Linked DNA regions of Astyanax mexicanus. The protein of the gene in region 1 purifies or fractionates together with the protein of each later gene. This does not show direct contact. Links are inferred from orthologs where the notes say so. Each region holds a gene or a part of one and is shown on either strand. Other genes may lie near its edges. The genes, in order: ofd1 and cep20.

Evidence for each region.
Region 2: the proteins of ofd1 (region 1) and cep20 purify together in Homo sapiens (co-immunoprecipitation; 3 studies listed by BioGRID and IntAct, with this or other methods). This does not show direct contact. The link is inferred for Astyanax mexicanus from reciprocal best matches to the Homo sapiens genes OFD1 and CEP20.

Annotation. Positions count from the first base shown.
Region 1 is NC_064418.1:1,334,491-1,347,585, forward strand, and holds the start of ofd1 (oral-facial-digital syndrome 1 protein homolog), read right to left. Parts: upstream 6,690-13,095; 5' UTR 6,508-6,689; coding exon 6,412-6,507; intron 5,537-6,411; coding exon 5,345-5,536; intron 5,210-5,344; coding exon 5,141-5,209; intron 5,039-5,140; coding exon 5,011-5,038; intron 4,667-5,010; coding exon 4,556-4,666; intron 3,816-4,555; coding exon 3,679-3,815; intron 3,013-3,678; coding exon 2,839-3,012; intron 1,840-2,838; coding exon 1,733-1,839; intron 1,481-1,732; coding exon 1,361-1,480; intron 218-1,360; coding exon 144-217; intron 58-143; coding exon 1-57. Other genes in the region: trappc2 (trafficking protein particle complex subunit 2), read left to right, coding at 8,934-9,026, 9,355-9,496, 9,948-10,042, 10,125-10,223; rab9a (ras-related protein Rab-9A), read right to left, coding at 12,233-12,838. UniProt on the Homo sapiens protein: Component of the centrioles controlling mother and daughter centrioles length. Recruits to the centriole IFT88 and centriole distal appendage-specific proteins including CEP164. Involved in the biogenesis of the cilium, a centriole-associated function.
Region 2 is NC_064412.1:25,901,224-25,914,156, reverse strand, and holds cep20 (lisH domain-containing protein FOPNL), read right to left. Parts: upstream 6,840-12,933; 5' UTR 6,811-6,839; coding exon 6,720-6,810; intron 6,374-6,719; coding exon 6,176-6,373; intron 5,471-6,175; coding exon 5,386-5,470; intron 5,098-5,385; coding exon 4,968-5,097; 3' UTR 4,725-4,967; downstream 1-4,724. Other genes in the region: ube2g2 (ubiquitin-conjugating enzyme E2 G2), read left to right, coding at 7,372-7,414, 7,940-7,975, 8,066-8,111, 9,203-9,321, 9,776-9,916, 10,268-10,380; usp40 (ubiquitin carboxyl-terminal hydrolase 40), read left to right, coding at 12,889-12,933. UniProt on the Homo sapiens protein: Involved in the biogenesis of cilia. Required for the recruitment of PLK1 to centrosomes and S phase progression.

The DNA.
Region 1 (13,095 bases):
GTTCCTCCATCTTTGTGTCAAGGATGGTGGCTTCTTTATGGAGCCTCGCGGTCTCCTCTGAAGGAAAGAGAAAGAGAGAAAGAAAGATCATTATGTTGCCAAACATTGAAATTTAAATCATTAATCAAAAATTCTCCTCACACCTTTATTTCTCCTTTCATTTTCGATAAATGCTTCGTTCCTCCTGGCGTAGTCCTCCTTAAACTCCAACTGGACTCTGAAATAACAAAGCATCCACTTAATGGGTGGAGCTTAACTGCTGTAGGCGGAATGTGGGTGGGGCTAAATAGCAGTAGACTGAATATGGGTGGAGCTAAATTGCTGTAGGGGGGCTAAATTGCTGTAGGCTGAATGGGTGGGGTTATAAACTGCTGTAGACTGAATGTGGGTGGAGCTAAACTGCTGTAGGCTGGATGTGGGAGGGGCTAAATAGCAGTAGACTGAATATGGGTGGAGCTAAACTGCTGTAGGGGGGCTAAATTGCTGTAGGCTGAATGGGTGGGGTTATAAACTGCTGTAGACTGAATGTGGGTGGAGCTAAACTGCTGTAGGCTGAATGTCGGTGGGGCTAAACTGCTGTAGGCTGAATGTGGGTGGGGTTAAACTGCTGTAGGCTGAATGTCGGTGGGGCTAAACTGCTAAAATGCTGTTGGTTTTTGTGCAGTTTAGTTTCTGGGATTGAAGATACAACAAAACACTTTGTAACATAAACAGTGTTTATCTCTACTGCACTGTTTATTTATTTATAATCTAATAAATAAAACATGTTATTTAAAAAGAGAAGCCAAAACTTGCTGAAAACTGTGGATCTCCACAGATCCAGCATCACAAACAGCATGTAAGCATTTTCAGGCTTTTCCTCTCTGTATTATTTATTAGAGAGGCTTCAGCAGGAGGACTCATCAGAATTAAAACCTACATTTCATCAGAGCTTTAATACAGAGTTAGAAAACAGCGCCATCTGCTGAACGGATAAGAAACAGAACAAACAGAATGACCTGATACAACTTTAACGCAAAACTCAGGAACTTAGGAAAACCTGGTACTGGTGTTGGATGATGTTGGATCATTGCTGTGAAAAGGATTTGATTGAATTTAGCAATCTGAAAACCCTGAAGAGAGCACTTCAGTTTCTAAATCCATTTCTCTGATTTGGCTATTTTTACTGTTTGAGACTTTTCTGACCTTCCTGGAGTTGCTACAAGAAGCTGAAAAATTTGTTTACAATGATTTTTCCCGCTTTACTTTCACAAATTAAGTGCATTTATAAAAATACACAGTAAAAAGGGTTCTTCACATGTTCTGCAGTAAAGTTTGTGGTTCTACACAAAACATTACAAAAGAAAACAGAGCATCTCACTTCTTGAGCTCGTTATTGAGCTTTTGGTCATATGTGTCCTCCTGGGTCTTTACAGAGAGCTCCCTCCGCCTCAGGAGCTCCTCCGTGCTCTTCACTTTCTCCTCATGAAGTTTACAGGTCCTACAGAAGAGATACAGAACATCAAATACTGCAAAGACAAAATCAGTAAAAGGACCAAAATTATGATTTTATGATGAGACCACTAGAATAGAACCAGTATTGTGTGTACCTATAAGCGTGTGTACATATAAAAGTCTCGTAAAATCCATTGATGAAACCTATTAATGTAGCAGTTATTTAACTTGTATTGTTCTATTCAGACCCCACTGAATGTCCTGAAGAACTCCCCACTCTTTTTAATAGTGTACTCACTTCTCAAAGGCCTCTGTTCTGAGCCTCAGTTCAGCCTCTCTGTTGCGGACGGTCTCGATTTCCTTCAGCAGAGCCTGACGCTGAGCATACACCTCCTTCTCCTCTATCTGAACACAACACAACACAACTCCTAAACACCTAAAGAACCAGGCTGGGACATTTTTACACTGAACTTGTTTTGTGTGGCTCTAATACGCTTTTTTGTTTAATTCAGTTTGTTTTGATGAGTGTAAACACTCCACCTGTATTCAGGCATGCATGCACCTTACTGTGCTTCATTGTGGACTGTGCTTTAGTTCCAATTAAATCCTGGTTTTGTTGGCTATTTGTGTAAACACCAAACAAGGAAACTCAGTGTCAAGAGTGTATATTTCTCAGTGCAGTCGTAGCAGTACTAACTATATAATATGCCTATTTAACATTATGAAGGTCGAATTGTGTTTGTGTATGTTTTGTGCCATATCAGCAACATATTGGCTATTTTATGGCATTGATAATGTTTGTGACTTAAGCATCAACGATTTAAATCAATATATATCAATATACATATTAAGGACTTCCAGAAAATGAAGTATTTTAGCTGCTGGAATCCTTTCAAACAGTTCTTTCTTTTATACTTGAATCCATATAAAAGTTGTTTCTAGTGGTTAAAAGTACAAAGCAGTCTACTATGATGTGTTTAATAGTTTAAAGAGTATCACAGAATTGGCAGGCTGGACTCTGTTCACCAATCAGGAGGTGGGGGTGGGTTAGAGCAGTATGTCCAATTCGGCACCTAGTCATGATTGTCTGATCTTGTCTTTTAAGGAAGTCCATATCGCATTTAATATTAGTGATGGGGGATATTTAATACAGTTTATTTTGCGGATTCTCCAATGATGGTGCCCCATCCAATACATCTGTGATAAAGGAGTGATGATCAATATCAATATGAGCAATATCAAAATCAAAATCTGGTACAATGTCTTCCCTGAACTGTACAAACAGTTAATACAACAAACGCAGGATGAAGTACTGAACTTTATAGCCTTAATTTCAGAAGAACAATGTTTGAATGTACAGGTTTCTCAAGACTTTTGTGCATATGGTGTATAAGAGTTTGATACCTCCTGCTGTTTCTGCAGACGCTCTATAGCATTCTTCTCTCGGCTCATCAGCGCTTCAGCCTTCAGCTCGTAGTTCTTCTCCAGGCGATGTCTGATCTCAGAGACTTCTCTCCGACTCCTCTCCTGTTCCTCCATCCGCACCCGGGACACCTCCACCTCCTGGAAGTGCTGCAACTGGAGAACCAACCACACCACACCACACCACACCACACTCATGAGGAGAGCTGCTACTGTAGCTGTACTACACTACATTACATTAGGCGCAATAGTCACATTGTTGGACGTGCGATGTCACCCAAGTCAATAAAAACTAATTCTTGACACGAGAATTAGATACACAATGTTCTGAGTGAGAAAAAAGGGCGAGGGGGAGCGTGAGGGGGAGGGGCAGATATTTCCAGTTACAGCTGAATTTACGTTTTTAATCCCAGAAAAACAAACGCTCTTATTTACCTTTTAAAAAAGGTAATTTAAATGCTTGATTATTGTTGTTTTGCTGTTTTCCTCAGGTTTTGAGTGCTTAGCTGACTCTAAAACTCTGACTCGGCTCTCAATCTGGATCTCTGTTGTGAGACAGCGCGTTGGTGGGGCGGGGCTGGTGCTGTCACAGGTCCTGCATTGTGTAATATTGCCATATATTGCAGAAAACAAAAACGAATGCGATGTAATTTTATTCCAATATCGTGCAGCCCTACATTACAGTGTACGGTTACTGCAGGGTACTACAGGGTACGGGATGGATACTAAGCTGTTCCAAGTGGTTGCTATGCCGTTGCTTAACCAAGCAACTGCCCATCAACCACACAGTAACCAGCACCTGGTGACGGATGAATGCAGTACCTTTGCTTTAAGCTCCGCCCGCGCCTGCTCCTCCATCTCCTTCCTGAACTCAGCGAGCTTCGCTTCCACCGATGCCCAGCGGTTCCCCTTCTGCCTCAGAACTTCATACTCCTCATCGACCACCTGCAGCTTCTCCACTTTACCATAAAACACACACACACAGTGTTTTTACACACACACTCTCTATTCACTGCCTAAAGCAGGGCTTCTCCCACCAGGCTTACAATGCTAGAGATAGACGCAAAGAAATCTACTGTGTGTAAATAGTGTTTTTAACAATAAGCTACCTATGCTATGCCCCCATCACTAGCATTTAAGTGTGCTGTATTTTGGAATGCTGGATGTGAATGGAGGTGGGCTGTGCAACAAAAGTTCATACTCATTATTATGTTTCACTACAACAAATGTCCATTTCACACCGGATTTCTCCTTTAATTTTATTATCATGCTTGGTAGCAGTTCATTTCAGTTTTCCAGCTGAAAGATATGAGCTCTACAGGACTAGGATAGTAACGATAGATGACATATATTTATACTTGTGCCACTACGTTGAAATTAAGTCACAATAATTTGATTTAACGAGCAAGAATGAATAGCTATGATAGAGGAGCAGATTTCAAAATGAATTATGTGAAAATGCATGATTATTACAGAGATATTTCCAGTTCAGCAACAGCTGGAACTCATGCATTTCCAAGGAGTTCATTTTCCAATATATTCCTCCCCTTTGCTGTTTGACTTTGTGATCTAATTTAAAGATGGTGGGAATCCCAGTCAAATGTTTCTACAGCCAGTTCAGACAGAAACAAGACATGGGTCAGGTTTAGGGTCTCAGGAGGTTAATCCAGTGGTAGTAAACAGAATAAAATGACCGTACCGAGTGACTGTGTGGAGTCGGGTGGTGTTGAGGAGGTCTGAGTATCAGCATCTCTGAGCTGCAGGTGAGCGCGGTGTGCAATCAACTCAGAGAGAAGATTCATCAACAGACCTGCAGAGAAAAAAAATCTTTATTATTCATTTACTTCATAAAACACAGATTAAAGAGTACTGAGCTGAGAAATCTCCAAATTCACAATAATTCAGATATTATTCTTCAGGAACTGATTCAGTTCTTGATTCAATTATTTTTAAAACATTTCAAAAATCACAGTGAATTTGTTTACATTAACTATTAATACAGTAGTATAATACAAACGACATTTAACTCAAATATAAAAAATATATATTTGTTAATATTTGAGCTACCATGTCTGAAAACAGAATAAAAAAAGCTTAATTCAAACCAAAAATTAAAATGTATTTAAAAAATGTCCGGAGGTAGACTCCACTCACCTTTCTGTCCACTCTGGACATTTGACACCTGTGCAAAAAAAAAAAAAAAAAATTACATATATTAGATGAATTAAACATATAATCTTAAGCCATTACATTACAGGTTGCCAAATGATAAAGTTGTGATTACCACAGACGTGTAGAGAGGTGATTGTGGACTGATCTTTAAAAGCTGAAGAAGATCTCTTGTTGAAAACACCTACAAATAAAATGTAAAAATGTTTTGGCGTGCACTGATACTATAACAGTGTTTTAAATGTAGGTATTGTGATATACTAATACACTAACACAGGGTTACAGTGTCTCATCAGGGTTAAACAGAAACTGGTCTGACCTTGTCTTTGCTCAGTCCGCACTCTGGGTAGAACACAGACAGCGTGTATTCATATCCACACCTGTGCAGGTGATCGATGACCAGACTGTTGGATGCCAGAACTGAGACTGAATCCCCTTTAGCTGAGAGCCCCCGAGGAACCGGTTCACCCGGACTCTGCAGCTCCTGGATCAGCTGGTTCCGAAGCTGAGTCTGAATCAAAAAGAGAAACAGGTGAAATCAGAAAATCGGATTTTTGCAGAACCATCAGATAACCACCGTAAAAGTGCAAAATAAACTGTTTCTGTGATTTTAATCAGTTTAGAGCAGTTTAGTCCCACCTATTCAGCCTGCCACAGTTCATTTCCACCCATCCAACCCACAGCAATTTACAAGAAATGTTTCCAGATAGACTGTTTTCTCAATGAGGCACAATACAAATCTTATTTAAACAGATGTTCCAGCAGGAACCGAATTAAAATGTCAGCTACTAATACAAACTTGAGTGGATTATTCTGGAGTAATGGGATACCAAACTTAGGAAAAATCTATATTCAGTTGTTAAAAACATAAAACAGATTTGATCACTTGCGTGCTGTCCTCTGTATATATTTCCACATCAGATATTCAGCCTGACTTTAATGCACTTGTCTAAACCCAAAAACAAGCTCGATTTCTCTCACTGAACACATAAAAAAGAACAGAACTGAACTGAAAAAAAGAACAAACATACACTTTTTTGTAAAAAAAAAAATTAAGTGATGGTGATCTTTAACAAAAGTATAGTTTTGTGTAAAAAGTTCGTGTAAAGCTGATAGTGCTGCTAGTTTTTTTAAACACTGTTAATGTAGCACATATTAAAAACCTTTTTTTCATAAACATTAAATATTTATATAATTATGTGCTCAATATTTATAAGTATTTTATGTAATGTTTAAATTACTGTTCTTTGTTAAGTTAAAGCTAAAAAGTCTTTAAAGTTATCACTGTATTGTGAGAATAGTAACGTTAAATGTAGCTAGATTATCACAGTGTACAGTGGTGCTGTTTAGTGAATATTAGTGATATTAGTGTTTAAAGTTTAAAACCTTTAAAGTGTCCAGAAGTCCTTTGTTTTTGAAGGTCTGGTAAAGCCTCTTCCTGAGCTCCTCTGGAGAAAGACCCTCTTCATTCACTGCAGACATTTTTAACTGATTTATCTATTAAATTTACTTTAAACCAGAACTTTAAACCCTAAAAACTTAAACTCCACTTAAAAACAGCTGGTGAACACATTTTAGGTAGATTCTGGATTTTAAGAACCCCCAAAGAAGCTAAAAATAACGATTAAAACAACCGAATATCACTGAAAACAAACACAAATCCAGTAACTGTTTAACTACGGTCACTACAGCTGCTATGTTTGGATACCGCTGGGTCCATCTCAATCCGACTCATGTTCCCTACGCCCTAAACTACATGTGTATTACAAAGGTCCTTCTATGAGTTTGCTCACTATTTAGCTAACCTACTACACAGTATTTATTATATAGTAAACCATGGTTAAAAATACTATACTTCTGTGTCAGTTACATAAATAACTTACTTTATTACCGTAGTGCTAATATATGCTACTATGCCGAGTTCACTAACTACGTAGGGAACGAGGACTACATTTGAGACGCCCCCATTGCAACCGTATCCAACGCAAGACGCCACACAGTTTTGCTTCCGAGTTCACGTGTCTTTTTTTGTTGTTTCTTTGAAGAAATAATTAATTAAAATTAATTTTATTTTAGTTTATTTTTGTTGTTGTCCATGATAAATACATTTTAAAAAGTGTATAGATTTAATTCTATTTTATATATACTTAAAAATGTGTGGGTAAGTGTCAGGAATATTATTGCTGTTTTATTTCATTTATTTTCATTTCATTTCATTCCTTTTCGCCCACTTTACTTTTTTGTCTTTTTAAAATAAACGTTATTAAGGCTTTATTTTATTGTTTATTTTTAAATAATCTTTACTAAGGCTTTATTTAGTATTTTTTTAAATAATGTTATTAAGGCTTAATTTTGCCTTTCTCGTTCACATCCGGGTTAATGTGTATATCTGTCCTAATACAAGAGCTGTTTTATAGAGAGACTGCCCACTTTATATTTCCGCTGTTATCCCCAAAATACTGAAGACCGCTAGAGGGCGCCCAAATAGTGAGTCCAAAATGTATGGGGGTGAATAGGGCTAAACGGCTAAAGACGCAAATTAAAAATAGTGTCTCACTACTTGGCCACGATATTCATTGAACGTTAGAAAGTGGAATTTTGCAATAAAAATAAAAATAAAAGCTAATAAAACCACCTATATTTAAATGTTTTTCAGTTAACTGATTGAGGTGATCTGATGCTAGTTACAGTTTAAAAGGCTTATAACTAAAATTTGAAAGCTTTAAAATTCGTACTGAAGAATCTGATATTCTTCATTGTTAAAAAATAAGTAAGTTTTTCGCTATAAAAATCCTTTTATATTTATATTTATCTGATTTTTTGCTCTATTGATCCATATGAACTCATTCATTTTAGACTCACTCGGGAGCGCTCTCTGGTGGTCAAACTAACCGGGTAAGATTTTCTCAGAGTGTGAAGTCTCCTCTCTGTTAGAGCTCTTTACTCAATCCCTCTCCTCCTATTGGCTGTTTCAGTCACATGACTGCAGAGGAACCGACCGACACACACAGGGATATCACAAACATTAAAAATAAAAATAAAATAATCGGTATAATTCGCTTTATCAGTTAATAATCTCTACCCGGATTAACTCCACATGTTTCATAAACCTCTGGATGTGATTAAAGGAAGTTAATCTCTTTATTAAGGAGACTCAGCCGAGCTTCTGGAGCCGCTTCTGTTTTTTAAGGTGGGCTGGAAGTTAAACTACATAATATCTTCATTAAATTTAACTATATTACAACGAGTAAACAGTATAACGTATTTTATTAATTATAGTGGTGCTTATATCTTACTGAGTCTGAGTCTCTGAGTGTTGTTAGACGCTTTATTCTTATTTAGCACTGAATTATTTAACTAAAACTGGCTTTATATCTAAAGAGGCATTAAAACCTAAATCATATTTTTTCCATTAATAGCTAAAGTCTGTTTATTTGAAGTAATGAAACATTCCAACCATATAAAAAGCCTTATACAATTTTATAAATATTTCCAGACATCCTAAGTTGCAAATAAATTTTAACGTAGTCAAGCTTCTGAAGCTGCTTCTGTGTTTTAAGGCTGGAAATTAAACTGTAGTTAATTAACTAGTTAATATCTTTATTTAAAATGTAACTATATTATATATAAAAAGAGTAAACAGATTGGTGGTCATTATATATGGAAATACTTTAGAGTAGTCAAAGGTAAAATGAGTTTTGATGGGATCCATGATGCTCCTGAATGCATCCCATCCAGAAGGGGGGGAAAAAAAACAATCCAATCATCTCTCCCTCCTGCCCCACCCCTAAACCCATACATCACCATCACCCAAATGTAATTGGTTGAGGTAACAGTACTGAATGTGTATTATCATGACATTTCTTCTTTCACAGTCTAATCACCTAGACCGGGACAGACGGTAGACGATGTCGGGGAGTTTCTACTTCGTCATGGTGGGTCATCACGACAACCCTGTGTTTGAGATGGAGTTTCTCCCTTCTGGAAAAACAGAATCAAAGGTACCATAATGCATCCACAGTGTTTTATTATATAGGGCTGGGCAGTATATTATCACAAATATACTGCAATAAAAATTATGTTAGTGAAATAGACATACTATAGAGCTGGATGTCATAATTGATGGATTATTTTTCCATTTCTGTACTATTCTATATGCTGTACTGTAGGGATATTCATACTACTTGTCTCCTAAAAGCAGAGAGAAATATGTCAGACCAAGTTTAGCATGCTTTTACTGAAGAAGATCCATCACACACTGTTCAGAAGGTGATGACGTGCTCTGAAGAAATGTCCTCTATATCCTCTATATCTTTCTCTTTTTTAAAGGATGATCACCGACACCTGAACCAGTTCATTGCTCACGCAGCCCTGGACCTGGTGGATGAAAACATGTGGCTGTCCAACAGCATGTACCTGAAGACTGTGGACAAGTTTAACGAGTGGATTGTCTCTGCGTTCGTAACTGCAGGTCATATCCTTTTTATCGTACCTGACTGTGTGGAAATGGTTTATTAATGCTGCAGCAGTATAATCTCAGACAGACTTAAATTAGCTTTAATTATGATAAAATGACCCCAATTTCCCTATTTATCACGGAAGAGAAGCTCTCAGCACAGAATTATCACCACTAGTGGTGGGCGATATGGCCCTTAAATAATATCACAATGTTTTATGGTATTTTTGTGATAACAATACTCTTGACCATACTCTGCCAAATGTAATGTTATATAATAACATGGCACAATCTTTTACCCCATACACATGCACAAGATTAAATATAAATTGGAAAAATTAAACATTTTTTTCACATTTTCATTTTTATGGCTTAAAATTTGCAAAAAATGTTGGAAAAATTGAAAAATTCAAGATTGAGATTTTGATTGCAGTCATTCTACACATTCTGCTCTTTTCCTTAGCAGTGTGTTCACATATCAGGTTCATCATGCTCCACGATGTTCGACAGGAGGATGGAATCAAGAACTTCTTCAACGACGTTTATGATTTATATATCAAGGTAAATATATAGGATTGTGTATTGTGTAGTAAATTCATTAATGTAAGTAAAAGTCCTTTAATTGCCTGTTTTCTGTTTATAGTTTGCGATGAACCCTTTTTACGAGGTGAACACGCCCATCCGCTCCACGGCGTTCGACAGGAAAGTTCAGTTTCTGGGGAAGAAACATCTCCTGAGCTGATCTTAAACTGGATCTATTCTGTTTTCACTTGTTTTTGCTTTAAAATTGTGTGATTGTACAGATTTTATGTTTGTGAGTTTAGTATTTACAGATCCTGTGATCAGTCATTTCTCACTTTGTCAATTGTAGGAATTGTGGTTTTCAGTCTGTACAGTCATATTAAATTACATGCATTTATATTCTAACTAAATATATTATAATATCAGCAGACTGCTTGTGTGTATGATCATATTCACCTAATAAAAATCTGTCAGTGTACACCTGCTCACCTAGTGTTTCTTCCAAAATCATTGCTTTGAGGAGGGTTTGATTGCATTCAGCCCTCAGAGTAGGAGCATCACAGATGTGCTTGCATATTTCCCTGTGTGAAAATAAACCAAAAACTCTGTCCATCAGTCTGGAGCATATTATGCAAAACTTACTTTTTGCATGCATTTCTGTCTCCACTTGAGGCTCGACTGCTCATATAAACATTTCAAATGCAAAAAAAATATGCTGGTGAGATAAGCGCTCAGCATATACATGGCGTAACCAGCAACAGCTTTATTTATAAAAGTGTCAGAGCCCTTAAACGGCTCATAATGAAAGGGACTGAAACTGGCGAGAATAGAGCTGAGAGATCTTTATCTTAATATGAGATTGATTTTATGTTATAACTTCGTGAACATGTTGTGTATAGAACATAGACCTATTTTAACTTGTGTAAAAAGAGGTATAAAATGCTTGAACCACATTGATTTCCACTTGTTATAGCGACGAAACTTGAGGACGGCATTGAGCTCTCATACTAAATTCAACAGTTCATTGAAATAAACACACTGTACATCATTTTCACCACCTCAACATCTTTGTCAAACAATCATGCATGCTTTGATATGCAAAACTTGTTTTCATGCTTCTTGAGGAAAATATACTTGCAGAGAAATCAATATTCATTAAACAGAATGATAATTTGCATTGCTCTGTATAATCAAGATAAAATTTATCTTTTCAGATTTGCTCTGAGAAATGTGCAACTTCAAAGTTGGGGACTTTATTTATATTTATTTATATATTTAGCAATATTCTGATTCAGCATTTATGGAACCATTCCAGTGTGTGCACAAAATGCATGAGAAGAAAAAAAAACAAAACAAGAAAACCACAAATTCAGCTCTGCCTTGTTATTTCTACTTTAATTTCCCGCTCACCACATGCAACATTTCATATCTCACTGTTAAATACGTGTTAATTCTTTTCTTAATATATCAATACTTTTCTTAAAGATCAATATTAGGTTCAAACCTAGTTGTGATGTTTTATTTTTTTAAAGACACAGAAATCACCACAGATCAACAATATTGATTAATTCTGCTTCAATTCCATGACAGATTTTAGTGCTTTTGATTACGCTCCAGAAACAAGTGCTTACCTTTAGTTTTTTTACTTCTGCTTTTCTCAACATTTTAATTTAAGCCATAAAATCTACATGATACACTGATACATGTCGACACTTGGCACACTCTACACTCTCTCTCCTATAAATGTTAATAGATTAGAAACAACTCCACCACAGTGTTTGACAAGTGCATTTCCCCTGCGTTAATAATTATTAATCGTTACAGGAAGCTAAATTTTCATAAAATAAAAATGTATTGCATCACTCTCAAGTCTCGATATTAGAATATATATATAGTGCTTAATGTATCAAAGTCTGCACAGGAGAGATTATGTCCATTTATTTATTTTTTTTGCTCCAACATCTTGAGTCTTGAGCTAGTCTTGAGCTGAGTAAGCATTTTAAAAAGTCTACAGTGGTACGAACCCAGTGTTTAGTGCACGTCTATAGTGAACGAGGCCTCAGAGACTCTATTCAGACTCTTCTCTTCTCTTCTCTTCTGTTCTGTCCAGCAGCCTCACGTTAGTTTAGTTTATGTTTTTATTTTCGTTTAGTCGAGGTGTTTTTTAAGTCAACAGCAGGAGCAAATTTATTATTTTCCAGCAGGAGGCGCCATTTAATTTCATCAACATCAACAGCAGGGGGCGCCAGTGCGCGGCTTCCTGTGCAGGTTGACCGTGTCTGTGGGGATGAGGTGCTCGGCTCGGTCCTCGGTGGCCAGCACTCTCCGCACAGCCTCCTCGAAGGCAGCGCTTACGTTGGTGGCGTCTTTGGCGCTGGTCTCGTAGTACGCGTAGTCGCCGTTGTCGCGGCACCACTGCAGCGCCTCCTCTCGAGACACCTGCCGCTCGCTAACGTCCACTTTGTTTCCCAGCACCACGAACGGGAAGGTGTCCGGGTCCTTGACGTCGGCGTAGTACACAAACTCCTTCTTCCAGTTGGCCAGGTTGCGGAAGCTCTGGCCATCGTCGACGCTAAACGTCAGCAGGCAGCAATCGGACCCGCGGTAGAACGGCGTTCGCAGACTCCGGAAACGCTCCTGCCCCGCCGTGTCCCAAATCTGCAGCGTCACCGTGCGCCCGTCCACCTCCAGGTCTTTATTGAGGAACTCCACGCCAATGGTGTGGAAAAGGTGACTGTCGAATTTGTTGGTGACGTAGCGATTCATGAGCGAACTTTTGCCCACGCCGCCATCGCCCAGCAGGATCACCTTCAGCAGAGACGACTTGGAAGACATGGTGGTGGTGGTGGTGGTGGATCTCTGCTGCTCTGCTGCCTCTCAGACACCTGGGAACTGAGGATTCAAGAAAGAGTTCAGAAAAATAAATATATATTTATTCATATTCATAAAGTTTTAAGAGCTCAGAAATCTTCGAATATTTGGTGGAATAACCCTGGTCTTTAATCACAGTTTTTTTATACATCTTGGCATCATGTTCTCCTCCTCCACCAGTCTTACACACTGCTTTTGGATAATTTTATGCTGCTTTACTC
Region 2 (12,933 bases), on another chromosome or scaffold:
TCTGTTGATGCTGGGCCACAGAGGAGTGACTGTATAAAGCTCCTCCAGCAGTATGGCTTTCAGTCAGAATTCATTTTAATGATTTTCATTTAAGACTAATTATTTACAACTAAAATTACATTGATTTGATAGGAAGCTGTTGGAGCTCAGTGTGTCCCAAAATGGCCAAATGACTTCTTATCAAAGAAGGAATCCCACATATGTGTTTATGTGTATAAATGTGTGTGTGTAGGGAGATTCCCATCGTAACACTGCAGTGAAGTCTCTGAGAGCCTTTTTGGGTGCCCTGTAGTTACACACGTCACATTCCAGCCTGTTCCCACTGCCCCTACACTCCCTCCCACCCCCCTACGCTTTCCAATGGAACTTCCTATAAAAGGAGAACCGCCTGTTGTGTAGAAATAAATCATGTTTGGGATGTCTGATATTTCCATGTCCAAGGTTTGGAGGTTTAAACCTGCTGCTCTAGAAAAGTAGCGAGTGGAGTAATATGCTTGCAGTGGTTTAGATGCAACACTGGTGTATCTAATCCACTCATCCCAGTACAGCACACACACCACTTCCATGTTAGTGTCACTGCAGTGTTGAGAATAATCCAAAATAGTACCTGTGTTGTGATGGTCATGTGAAGCCCTGACCACTGCAGACCAGGGTGAATAGGAGATAAAAAAATATGCAAAGAAACAGAAAACTTTACTGTCCTCATTATAAAACAACAAGGTGCTCCTATATGATCGGTGAAGCTGATAAGATGGACAGAGAGGGTAGAAACAAAAAGGTGCTTATAATATTGTTAATTTACTGTATATATGTTTTAACTTGCTCTATGTGTGCAACATTGTTGTATATTTTTAATAGAGGATTACGTCAAAGACTAGTTAAACAAGTTAAAATGAGTGATAAAATTTGTCTTTATCAGGTAATGAATCTGATAGCTTCTCCTCCCTACAAATATAAGGAACATTAGGATAGACACCATACTGTACAAGTGTAAGAACATAATAATTACAATTAAAAACATTTAAGTAATAAACAACAGCAGCATGTTCACAGTACCAGTTAAATGTTGGATATTTTTTTCCTACATAGTAAATGAATGGTGAAGTCATCCAGACTAAGAATGAAGACATAAGGAATCATGTAGTACACAAACATACTTTGTGAAGCATGTGTGGTGCTGTTCACTTGGGGTTTCTAAAGCTGGGAACTCTAATAAACTTATCCTTTGCAACAGAGATAACTCTTGGTCTTCCTTTCCTGTGGTGGTCCTGATGAGAGAGGTCCAGTTTTATCATAATGTTTGGATGGTCTTTGCAACTGCACTTGAGGATAATTTCAAAGTTCTTGAGATTTTTACGTTTTAAGTTGATCTTGCCATAAAATTTAAACATTACTCAAATAGGGCCACTCTACCTCTTCACAACACCACTGTTGGTCTCAAACGCATTAAGAGGGTAAGATATTAATATAAAAAAGTCATGTTGTGTAAAGCTGTCATCTAAGAATGAGGTGCCCACTTTGAAGAATTTAAAATATAAAACATTCTGTTTTGTTTAGCACTTTCTTACTTATTAAATAATGTAATACATTTAATAAATCTTTACAGGTTGGATGACTTTAGTATCAATCTCCAATTCCTCTAAAAATATTAAAATAATGAAATGTATGCATATATGCACACACTTATGCTGGTGTGCTATAAAATATTGCTAAATATTGGAAGACTAAACTGCTGTAGGCTGAGTAGACCAGATTACACTGCTGTAGGCTGAATAGACAAGACCTGTTATAGGCTAAATAGACAAGAGTTAACTGCTATAAGATGAATAGACGAGAGTAAACTGCTGTAGACTAAAAAGACAAGAGTTAACTGCTATAAGCTGAATAGACAAGAGTAAACTGCTGTAGACTAAAAAGACAAGAGTTAACTGCTATAAGCTGAATAGACAAGACTAAACTACTGTAGAGTGAATAGACAAGACTAAACTGCTATAAGCTAAGTAGACAAGACTAAACTGCTATAAGCTAAGTAGACAAGACTAAACTGCTGTAGGCCGAGTAGACAAGACCTGCTGTAGGTTAAATAGACAATAGTTAACTGCTATAAGATGAAAAGACGAGAGTAAACTGCTGTATTTTGTGGGTGCAGTTGATGGCCCTTGCCTGCATGTTTCCAAAGTAATGTTTTACTGTTTTCCTAGAAAGTGTTCGGTGGCCTGGTGGATTAAAAGAATGAAAGGAGAGTAAGAGTAGAGTAGTAAGGGAGAAAGAGAGAGAGAGAGAGAGAGAGGAAGATGTACTGTTGGACGTGTGGTGTGCCATATAAGGTCAGTGGGGTCCGGCTGGAATCCCGTCTGCATTCTGTGTTTAAAGGAAAGACCAAGTGACTAAATATGGTTCAGCTTCTGCAGCACTAATGGCATTGTTACAACTAACAGGACCGCGCAGAAACATATCTGTGCTATGTTTACAAACCTGCAATACACACACACACACACACACTAACTGCGCTCAGCCAGAACCAAGACCAATTAAGGGAAGTGGATGACAGCACCTGGTCAATCCTTAGAAGAAAACTGGGCCTGCCTGTAATGGATGTCACATTGTACAACAACTAATTACCGCAAGTTTTATTAGTGTTCATGTCTTCACTGACACTGATGAACATACACCACTTTCACTATTCCCTCTCTTTCAGTCATGCTACAGTGCTAATTACCGCAGCACTAATACTAGGCTGTGTCCAAAACTGAGCGGCTTTTTCAATGCCTCACTGTCTCACAAGTCAGGGCAGTGATGTAAATAAATCACAGCTGTGATTCCTGACATTATTCTGGTGTTCAGTTTATGAGACCAGTTAGCAGATAGCTGTGTTAGCAATTAAAATGAAATATATTTTCGGAACCTACCTGTCTCTGATTTCAGAATATGTAAGCAGTGTTTGCCATGTACACTGCCTGACCAAAAAAAAAAGTCGGCACTTGGATTTAAGTAAGCAAATGATCTGGCGGTGCTGCAGTTGATCAAGTATAGGTTTAGCAACAGTATGTGCTGAAAGAATGATGTCAGCTGACTACCTGAATATACTGAATATAGACCAGGTTATTCCATCAGTATATTTCAAGATGACAATGTCAGGATTTATCGGGCTGGAATTGTGAAAAAGTGGTTCAGGGAGCATGAGATCATCATTTTCACACATGGATTGTTCACCATAGAGTCCAGACCTTAACCCCATTGAGAATCTTTGGGATGTGCTGGAGAAGGCTTTGCGCAGTGGTCAAACTCTACCATCTTTAATGGTGTAAACTAAATGCAACGCTGGATTGAAACAGTTCAGAAGCTTATCAAAACAATGCCACAGCGAATGAGTGCCGCAATCAAAGCTAATGGCGGTCAAAATATTAGAGTGTGTGACCTTTTTTTTGGTGGCGACTGTTTTTGACCAGGCAATGTAATAGGATCTATTTTCAGCAGTTTGGGCATTTTTACACAGTTAACAGGGAAGCTTATTTCTGGTCAGTGTTAGGGGGGTTCAGGTTAGCACATACTACAGGAGGTTGTGGTTTTGCTTTCGTTTTTATTCTTTTCATGTTTTTAATGACACACAGGAGCTAGTTGAGTGATAATGACCCCTTTAGGTGGAGAATATTAAGCTTAGTGTAAAAGAAAATAAATAGATTGAAATGTCAAAAGACATTTACATTTACATTACATTTTTAACAGTAACCTGTAGCCTATAACAACTTACAGTACATTTTCAAGTAACTCTCCTAAACCTGCTAACTGATTTTTACTGAGCACAAGCAAAGGCACAAATAACAAATAAAGTATCAATTTCAGATAATTGTATATTATATACTGTATGATTTGCAGGCGTAAGGGAGCAGTCATCTGTATGCTGGAGAATCCTGCTAGTTGCTGAGGGGTGGCACATCTACCAAGGTATTGCCAGCTCAATAAATGATTATGAATGCCGTGTTCTCATTTACTATTAACATTTTGTTCAAGAAAATGCAAGGCAAGATTAGTAAACTTTGATTCATAATTGATATGGTGCCTTCCTGCCTCAGAATCATTTTAAAGTTTAAAGCATTTCTAAACTGACAGAAACAGCCAGTATCTGAATAGTTCCTTACTCCCTGTTTTGCATTGCATTGTGCTTTGTAACCACACTCAGAAAATGACAGGATTAAGTACATATTTCGCATATATGAGTATTTCCCCGCTTTAACACTTATATATACCTACTTCATAATCAAATACTAGTGAGTGTATATATATATATATATATGTGTGTGTGTTCAATTTCAATTTAAAGGGGGATAATTAAATGACATTATTTACATTAAATTAGTAAGATAATACATTTGCACAGATTTAAGCTTGTTTGGGAGATGTTGTAGAACAGTTGATTCCTACTTCCACTCAATGATCATGATCCGCTGGTGTATTAGAGCAGGTTAGAGGTCGAATGTCAGTACAGGACTAATTTCAGTACTAAATAAAACAAAAGAACAGAATGTTCCCAACAGGATTAAAACAGCTCCTGTAGAGGACTCATTTGGAACGTGGATCAAAACTTTCCAGGCAGTAAATTAAAATAAAAAATGAATTATGATCAATTCATGTGGATTTGTGTAAATCATTTGAACAGCCAAAATCTTTCAGCTGTGTGCTCCCCCGGTGGTCAGCACATGAATTACAGACAGTCGGAGACAATATTACTGTGCAACAAAGAAGGTTTAATACGAGAAAATATAAAACAGCATTAAAACAGACAATGCATGAGAATTAATATTAATATTTTACACTAATAAACATCTCATTACCTGCACACACTCTTAAATTGCCTGTTACACACAACATTTAACTTGTACTCAAGGCAAAAACACATTAAAATGAGCTGTTTGGGCACTTTAACATGTAAACAGTAATTGAATAATCTGATCTGATCCCTTGAGAGCTTATAAACTCTCTCCGTCACCCTTATTGGCTTGTTGGGGGTGTTGTTGGGGGTTCGGAGGGTTCCTCAGGAAAAGTTTTCCGCTGTCTGCACTGCTGAGGAAGTGTGAGAGCAGGCTATATAGCAGAGGACTGAAAAACAAACAGAAACACAGTCATATAAAGAAGTTCTGAAGAAGCTGAAGGAGTTAAACTGCATCAGTCTAAAGGTATGACTGAACTGCACAGAAGCTGGAATATTACAGCTGTTTTACACCCAGAAATGAGCGGTAAAAAAGTGATGGATTTAAAAACCTGATTCTCCTGCAAAGGCTCTGGCAAAATGATTCCCAGAACATTTTACTAAATTTAATATGAAAACTGTGGAGAGCTCTGTAGTAAGGGGACAGGTGCATTGTGTAAATGAGTGTGAATACTTACACTGCTGCAGCACTCGGCTCTTCTACAACATTCAGCTCACTTGCCAAGAACCGCCGGTCCAGAGGAACCTCAGGCTGACCTGACTCTGAAACACACTCAACACTTTTAGTACTTTAAAATGTTTTTTAATGTTGACACTATGAGTGATGAAACTGCAGACCTGAGGCTGTGAGATCTGATCATGTTATCTACTGATTTTAATTACTGCACTGGGGTAGTTTCTCAGATATATTACAACAATAAATACTCAGTTAAAGGAACAATATGTGCTAAATATATAGAAGTGTAAAAAGGCCCCAGACAGATGCCTGGTTAAGGATGCCGATCAGAGTGCAAAACAAGTACAAAAACATCTGCAATGGCAAATTAGGTTTCTATTTGTTGCTAAAGTTAGTCAATATAATTCGGTCATGCGGTTGCTACTGATGTATTAAACATCTAAGGCCTGTCTGGTCCTCCACTGTGACTAAATGCAGTTACCATTTACACTTTACCTGTCTCAAATTCTCACTGCCTTGATAACCCATCTGCAGCAGCACACTGTGTTTGCCTGCTAATGTGTTCCATACCTGGCAACTTGAGGTGTGGAAATAGGACTGGGAAATGGGCAGAGGAAGTAAGAATCTTCATAATTTCCCAAATCCTTTCGAAAATAAAGTACCACATAACCTTGCTTGTAACATGTGTTGTGATGCAAAGACCATGACGTGAAATTACTGTTTTATCACCCAGCCTTTATTATTAACCAAACGAGAAATAAAATTGAGTACAGCACCCCTCCTCAGCTCACCAGCGATTAGAACAGATGCCGTGTATCGGTACTTATTGAACTCCAGGTATTCACGGATCAGTTCATTAATCAGCAAGTTCTCATGGGTCAAGGGGGGTCGCTCCTCACTCTGGTCATCCAGTGCCCGAAAGACTTCAGATCGGATCCGGGCCTTCAGCTGCCCCAAAACACCCCGCGCCTCCAGTGCCTCCCGCAGAGCTGCAACAGAAACACATGACAGAACATAATTAAACAAAGCTCAACAAACACGCTTAAATGTCAAAACAGAAGTTTGTGTGTATTCGTACTTTCAATTCCACCTTAAACGGCGCCGTAGCTCTAATCTGGCGCCAGAGACGTTCCTACTGTTACAGCTACCAAATTTAAGGTGGAACGGAACATTCAACTCCAGTTTGGTGTTTTGTTTCCTAGTAGCCAAGCTGCTGCTGTCCTTCAGATACCGAAGTGCAAATGCTCGATCTTAAAATACATCTGTGCAATACATTACACTATCTAATTAATCGTTAATAGCCTGATTATTCACCCAGATTTAAACAAAACTTACCGGACTTTAACTCCGCCACTGTTGCCATGGAGGCAGCGCTGTTGTTACTGCTCTGCCCGACAGAACGCGCTACAGGCGGCGCTGCGACCATCGATATCGTTCTATTAAATTACATAATAAAAGTCTTACATTAAATAATGCATTAAAAATAACATAAAATGATGCATAAAACGGCTAGTAATCATGTTATCGTAGTGTTAAAGATCATAACAGCGAGCTGTGACTGATTCTAGACACTGACTAATGGTTATCTTATGAAATTTAAAGGTGACTTTAAACAGTTAACCGGTGTTTATTATATGAATTGAATGATCTTAATGTATGTGTTTTTATCTATTTATATTTTTTGCAACCTACATGCATGCTGAAATCAACTTTAGCGCTCTGGATAAACTAAGACAATACATTGTCTGTGTTTAATTAATAAATAATATTTCTGCAAAAAAAAAATATGATTGCAAGCAGGTGAGATTTGAGTGAGATGAGCACAAAATGTAAAGCAAGATACGCTCTGGGGCTTTTATTTTGTACTCTTTGTCAGTCAGACTGCGCAGATGTCGGTGGTGCTCTGTGATGGGGTGGCGCCCCCTGTGAGTGAGCGCTGGTACTGCAGATGTGAGTGGACTGGGCTGCACACAGAGAACGGGCCGTGATGGCAGGAACTGCTCTAAAAAGATTAATGGCTGAATATAAACGTAAGGAAACACGTTATTGATTCCCGGTAGAGAGTTAAATAAGCGCGGCCTGTTGCGGTTTTATCAGGGAGCTAGCAGCGACTAGCCGCTGAGCCATTAGCTGGCAGTGCTACTCCCCCAGTTACTAACTAGCTTTAGCAGGGTTAGCTAACGCCAGCTTGAGCTGATTATTATTATTGTTAAACTGACCCGAGTTAATGTTTAATATTAGAAATAAATATTTCCGGACGTTTAATAAGACCTTAAATGAAGCGTAAACTAAGCTGAAACACGTTTTAGTGGAAACTGTTTTTATTTTATTGGCTAGCTGGCCATTGTTTATTATTATTCCAGCTAAATAGCAAACCTACATAGATAGGTTAAGTTAGGTAGCTAGTTATTAAAGCTATATATAATTTCATAATTTTCTTGTTGAAATGATCTTCTTGATATTATTGATAATGATATTAGATATTAGATGATGTGGGTTTGTCTCTGATTGTATATTTAAGTGTGTGTGTGTGTGTGTTCGTGTTCTTTCATCAGAGCTGACCCTGAATCCTCCAGAGGGAATCGTTGCAGGTAAACAGACACCTGCAGCTTTACATACATATAGGAACGGACAGAACCAGCAAACAGTAGCTGAAGTGTGTCTCTGTGTGTGTGTTGCAGGTCCTGTAAATGAGGAGAACTTCTTTGAATGGGAGGCGCTGATCATGTGAGTCTATTTTCTCATGCTGCTTTAGCTTGTTCAGTTGGGGGGCTGGCTCCACTGCAGATACTAAATATTGACTTGTTTGACATCATCTTTATTCATGGGCAGAAGGAGTGAAGTACATACACTATACTAATAAAGTCTGACTGTTCTGGAGACTAATGCATCGGCATGGCACATAAACAAATCTGTAATAGAGCTGCCTTCCCTCCCTTTTAGGTTTAATCGGGCTATGTTTATTGAGCTGCACCCTTATTTAGTCCACTCTGACTTTCTGAGTTCTGGACAATATGCTTTTTCTTGCCCCTGAACATATACAGATATTAACAAGAACGTTTTTTATGTGTTTTGATCTCATTTATCTACAATAATGTGCTGTTTGTAATTTAAAAATGCTTTCTAGGGTGGAGATTTTTTAAACCTTTTTGTCATTTAAAAGGGAAAATTAAACTTCATAAAATAAATGTGTCTGGCTAAATCACAAATGCTGCCTTGCTCCCTATATGTCTGTCACAATAACATTTTCTTGGGACGATATATTAACTAAACCCAAACATAACTGGGGTAAACAATACAATTGTCCATTGATCCTTCATAATCCTAACAATGTATAATTTGGGAATAAACTGTGTTTAAATTTTTCTTTGTGGTGTTTTGAGGTCTCTATCACCTTATGCAGCGTTAGCATGCTTATGCAAGCCTTTTTGTCTCAGAGTGAAAGAAAACGTTTAAAAAAAAAGTGACAATATAAAGTCTTTTAAAAAAAATATAAGGTATTTTATTTGCATGTGTTTGGTCAGAACATTAAGCTGTTTGACTTTTATGATTTTCCATAAGATATTATTTCCCCCTGCTCGGCTGCCCTGCTCATATGCATGTTTTGGAGTGGGTTTTTCGTTCGTGGAGAGATTTTATAAGTGATGTTTTTGTTTTTAAAAATATTCAGAAATGTGTTGACAAGGCCTAGAAGAAAGAGGAATCATCAGCTCTGTTTATCTTTTACTTTAGTGGTGTTGATAATGATGAGAGTAAGGTATATATCTGTAAAAATAAGTGCAAGCAGAGAGTTTATTATTATCATTTGTCTCTTTTAGGGGTCCTGAGGACACGTGTTTTGAAGGAGGTGTTTTCCCGGCTGTTCTTAGCTTTCCATCAGACTACCCTCTCAGTCCTCCCAAGATGAAATTCACCTGTGATATGTTCCACCCCAACAGTAAGTTTATCCCTCATTCTATTCTTTAACTGATTAGAAAAACATGCAGTGTTTTCGTGTTAATTGAAAGGTTATATAGACAGATGGTTAACTATTAAATACAACTTTTGTGTGTTTTGGGGAAGATTTTCCTGCAAAACATGGAGATCAGTATTATTTCTCAAAGCAAGACATGAAGTGGTCTAAATACACTATAAAATATTAAACAAAATTCATTCATATTAAGTCTTCATTTAAGGACTTGCCATAACATACAGAAAACATAAAGAGTTTCAAATAGTAAATACCACTTTATTGAGTGTTATTTACAGGTACCAGCAAGAGTTTACTGACACATGATTTGAATGAATACTTTAGGTCTGAAGATCCACCCAGCTTCTGATTAGAAGTTTGTTTTTAACAAGAACTGGATACCGTTCTCACTAAAACAATTTCTGTTTGATTGTGTGTGTAGTTTATCCAGATGGCCGAGTGTGTATCTCTATTCTGCATGCTCCGGGAGACGACCCAATGGGGTATGAAAGCAGCGCTGAGAGATGGAGTCCGGTACAGAGTGTTGAAAAAATCCTTCTGTCTGTGGTCAGCATGCTTGCAGGTATGCACACACACACTTAATTGACCTTTATTTGGGAACGATGTAAACAGTGTGAACAAATCTGTCCCTGAAACACCACGCACTTACTAATTGATTTGTTTTACAACATTGGGACGCTACCACTATGATTGCGAGAACACTAGTTTGAATCCCAGTAGTTTAGCTCCATTTACCCCCATTAATTGAGGGATTACTAGCAGGCTGCCTCTAGTGTTTCGCAGTCATTTTTTAATATAACTGGGGAGATGGGAAGTTGGCAGGCTCTCCATAATCCGACTCTGATTCTGGCTAACTGTGTGCTGACTAATGGAAGTGTTGGTAATGGTGCTATTCCTTTTTCTTACTTTTCAGAACCAAATGATGAGAGTGGAGCAAATGTGGATGCTTCCAAGATGTGGCGAGAGGACAGAGAGCAGTTCAACCGATTGGCCAAACAGATAGTCCGCAAATCCCTGGGCCTCTAATCTCTATCACACACACACACACACACACACACACACATATACACAAACACATACACAAACTTCTCCATAACCTCCTTCATCACACTGAGCACTTTATCTGTGTCTGTCCTCTCTCACTGATACTGATGGATGGATGGACAGATGGATGTTAAAGATAAATTACACCTCCTACATCAGTGGACTTTCTCTCAGTGCAGCATTTCTGCTCCTTTCTGGACTAAAGGATTGAAATGCTGTTTCTTGGTTTCCATTGAAACAGTGGATGTTGTCCAGTCTGCTGTCTGAATGCTGTGGTGCATGTTTCAGTGCTTCATATTAAAATGATTAAATCTATATTCTTATGACAAGCAGAAGGAAACGGGATATGAAACGGTGAGAGATTTATTTGACAAGATTTGAAGTGATTGTTTGAGTTCCTCTGCAGTGGAGGAGAGATACGACAATAAAGTTAACTGTGATTCGTAAACATCTCGAGTCCCTGATTTCAGACTGTCTCTTACATTGTAGTAGATATATCAATGGGTAAGAAGTGTTCTTCTAATGAGGGTTACTTTACCAGTGCTGCATACTTTTTTTACTAAGATCTTGCATTTGTAATGGTAGTGTCTGTTGGCTGCACAAAGCTTTCTTCAGCACATCCCAAAGATTCTCATCGGGATTAAGATAACCTGCTTAAATATTTGCACCAGAAGTGCAAAAGCAGTGGGAAGACTAGTCAAGAACATGCCCAGATGCATTAAAAGTGTGATTAAAAACAAGTTATTCCACCAAATATTGATTTCTGAACTCTTAAAACTTTATGAACTTGTTTTCTTTGCATTATTTAAGGTGTGAAAGCTCTGCATCTTATTTTAGACATTTCTCATTTTCTGCAAATAAATGCTGTAAATGAAAATATTTGTATTTAGAATTAGGGAGAAACATTGTCTACAGTTTGTAGAATAAAACCACAATGTTCATATTACTCAAACACATACCTATAAAATATCAGAAAAAAATGGTTCAGAAACTGAAGTGGTCTCTTAATTTTTTTTTTCCAGAGCTGTATATAGTAAATATCTACTTGGCCAGTATTCCTTGGATATTTGACAGTAAAGTGATGCATTTTTCTAAAAAAAAAAAACAAAAAAACAAAGAAGTTTACCTGTATGTTTCATTTTCCTTTAGGTGACAGATTTCTGACAGTAAAGTGTGAGCTGATGCCAGAGTTATTGCCAGAGCATGTTTAAAATGCTAATAACTGGAGTTTAAAGCTTTACAAATGGCAAATCTGCAGCACTGGCACATGTAATATTGATCTGTGTTGGTGAAAGTAGTATAAGTTTCAGTATAAAAATCAGTGTGGTATGTGATATTTTTTTTGAGAGTAGTAGGCAGAAAGGTGTTCTATTAAAAAAGAAGAGCAACCTTTTATTAAGGGAAAAGAACACAATGAACATTAACTAGTTTTAAAGAACCATGAAAGTGACCTAGTTCATTTAAATAAGTATGAACTGACCTTTGAACTAGTTCATTTTTATATATTTTTAAAGGTATCCCAGATGAATGCTAATAGATAGCTGAGGTAAAATTCGCACAATATAAGTCAATGGGGGAAATTATTATTACTATTTTAAACGTTTCTTTTTTATCCTAAAAGAATAAACTGGCATTTTTAACAAGGCATTTTTTCATGAACAATAATAATAATTCCCAAGATCTGTAAATATGTTGGGTAGTTTTATGGGGACGTTTAACACGTATTTGCGTATGTATTTCTGTCAAAAACTCAAGTTTTCGTATCTAAAAACCGTATTTTCCTTTTCCGAAAGCCTAGCGGTCTAGCTGCTTGTCAAACTACAACTACCACAATGCATTGCAACACTGCTTCCTCCAGGAGAAACATGGCGGCGCTCTGAACAGCAGCGACACTCAGATTTAATTCGGCATAAAATTGAAAACGGAGCGGACCCGGGTGAGAACAGCCCCACATGTCTAATAAGTGTGTAGATGTTTAAACAGTTAGATTATTATTAAAGCGGTACAGTTTATTTCGACGTTGTTGGAGTTTAAACTCGCGACACAGGAAAAAAAAACACTGATATTCAATAACAATAACAATACAGATATCAATAACATTCATAGTTAGCTAATAACAATACATATATCAATAAATATAACATTACTAATGAAACTTTTCATATAATATAGTGTAACATTGCTAATCAGGTAATAGCCCTACTAGTCAATAAATATTAATATTGATAATAACTGATTACAATTTCAATCACAGTGTTTATATTATAAATACTGAAATACTAACTAACTGCTGCTAGGATCTTAACTGGGATTTGTGTAAATATGTTTGTTTACATTGGCTGTGATGTTGTGGTGTTAATAGTGATACTGGTGCTCCTCAGTAGGATGTCCTGTGAGGTGGATGTTCTGGACCACAGGTGGAACGTCACTGTCAGTGTCCCACAGCTGGACAGATAGCAGAGGACAAACACAGAGCAACCAGTGGGGAGGATGTTTGGGGATCTGTTTGAGCAGGATGAGGAGGGCCTGGGGGAC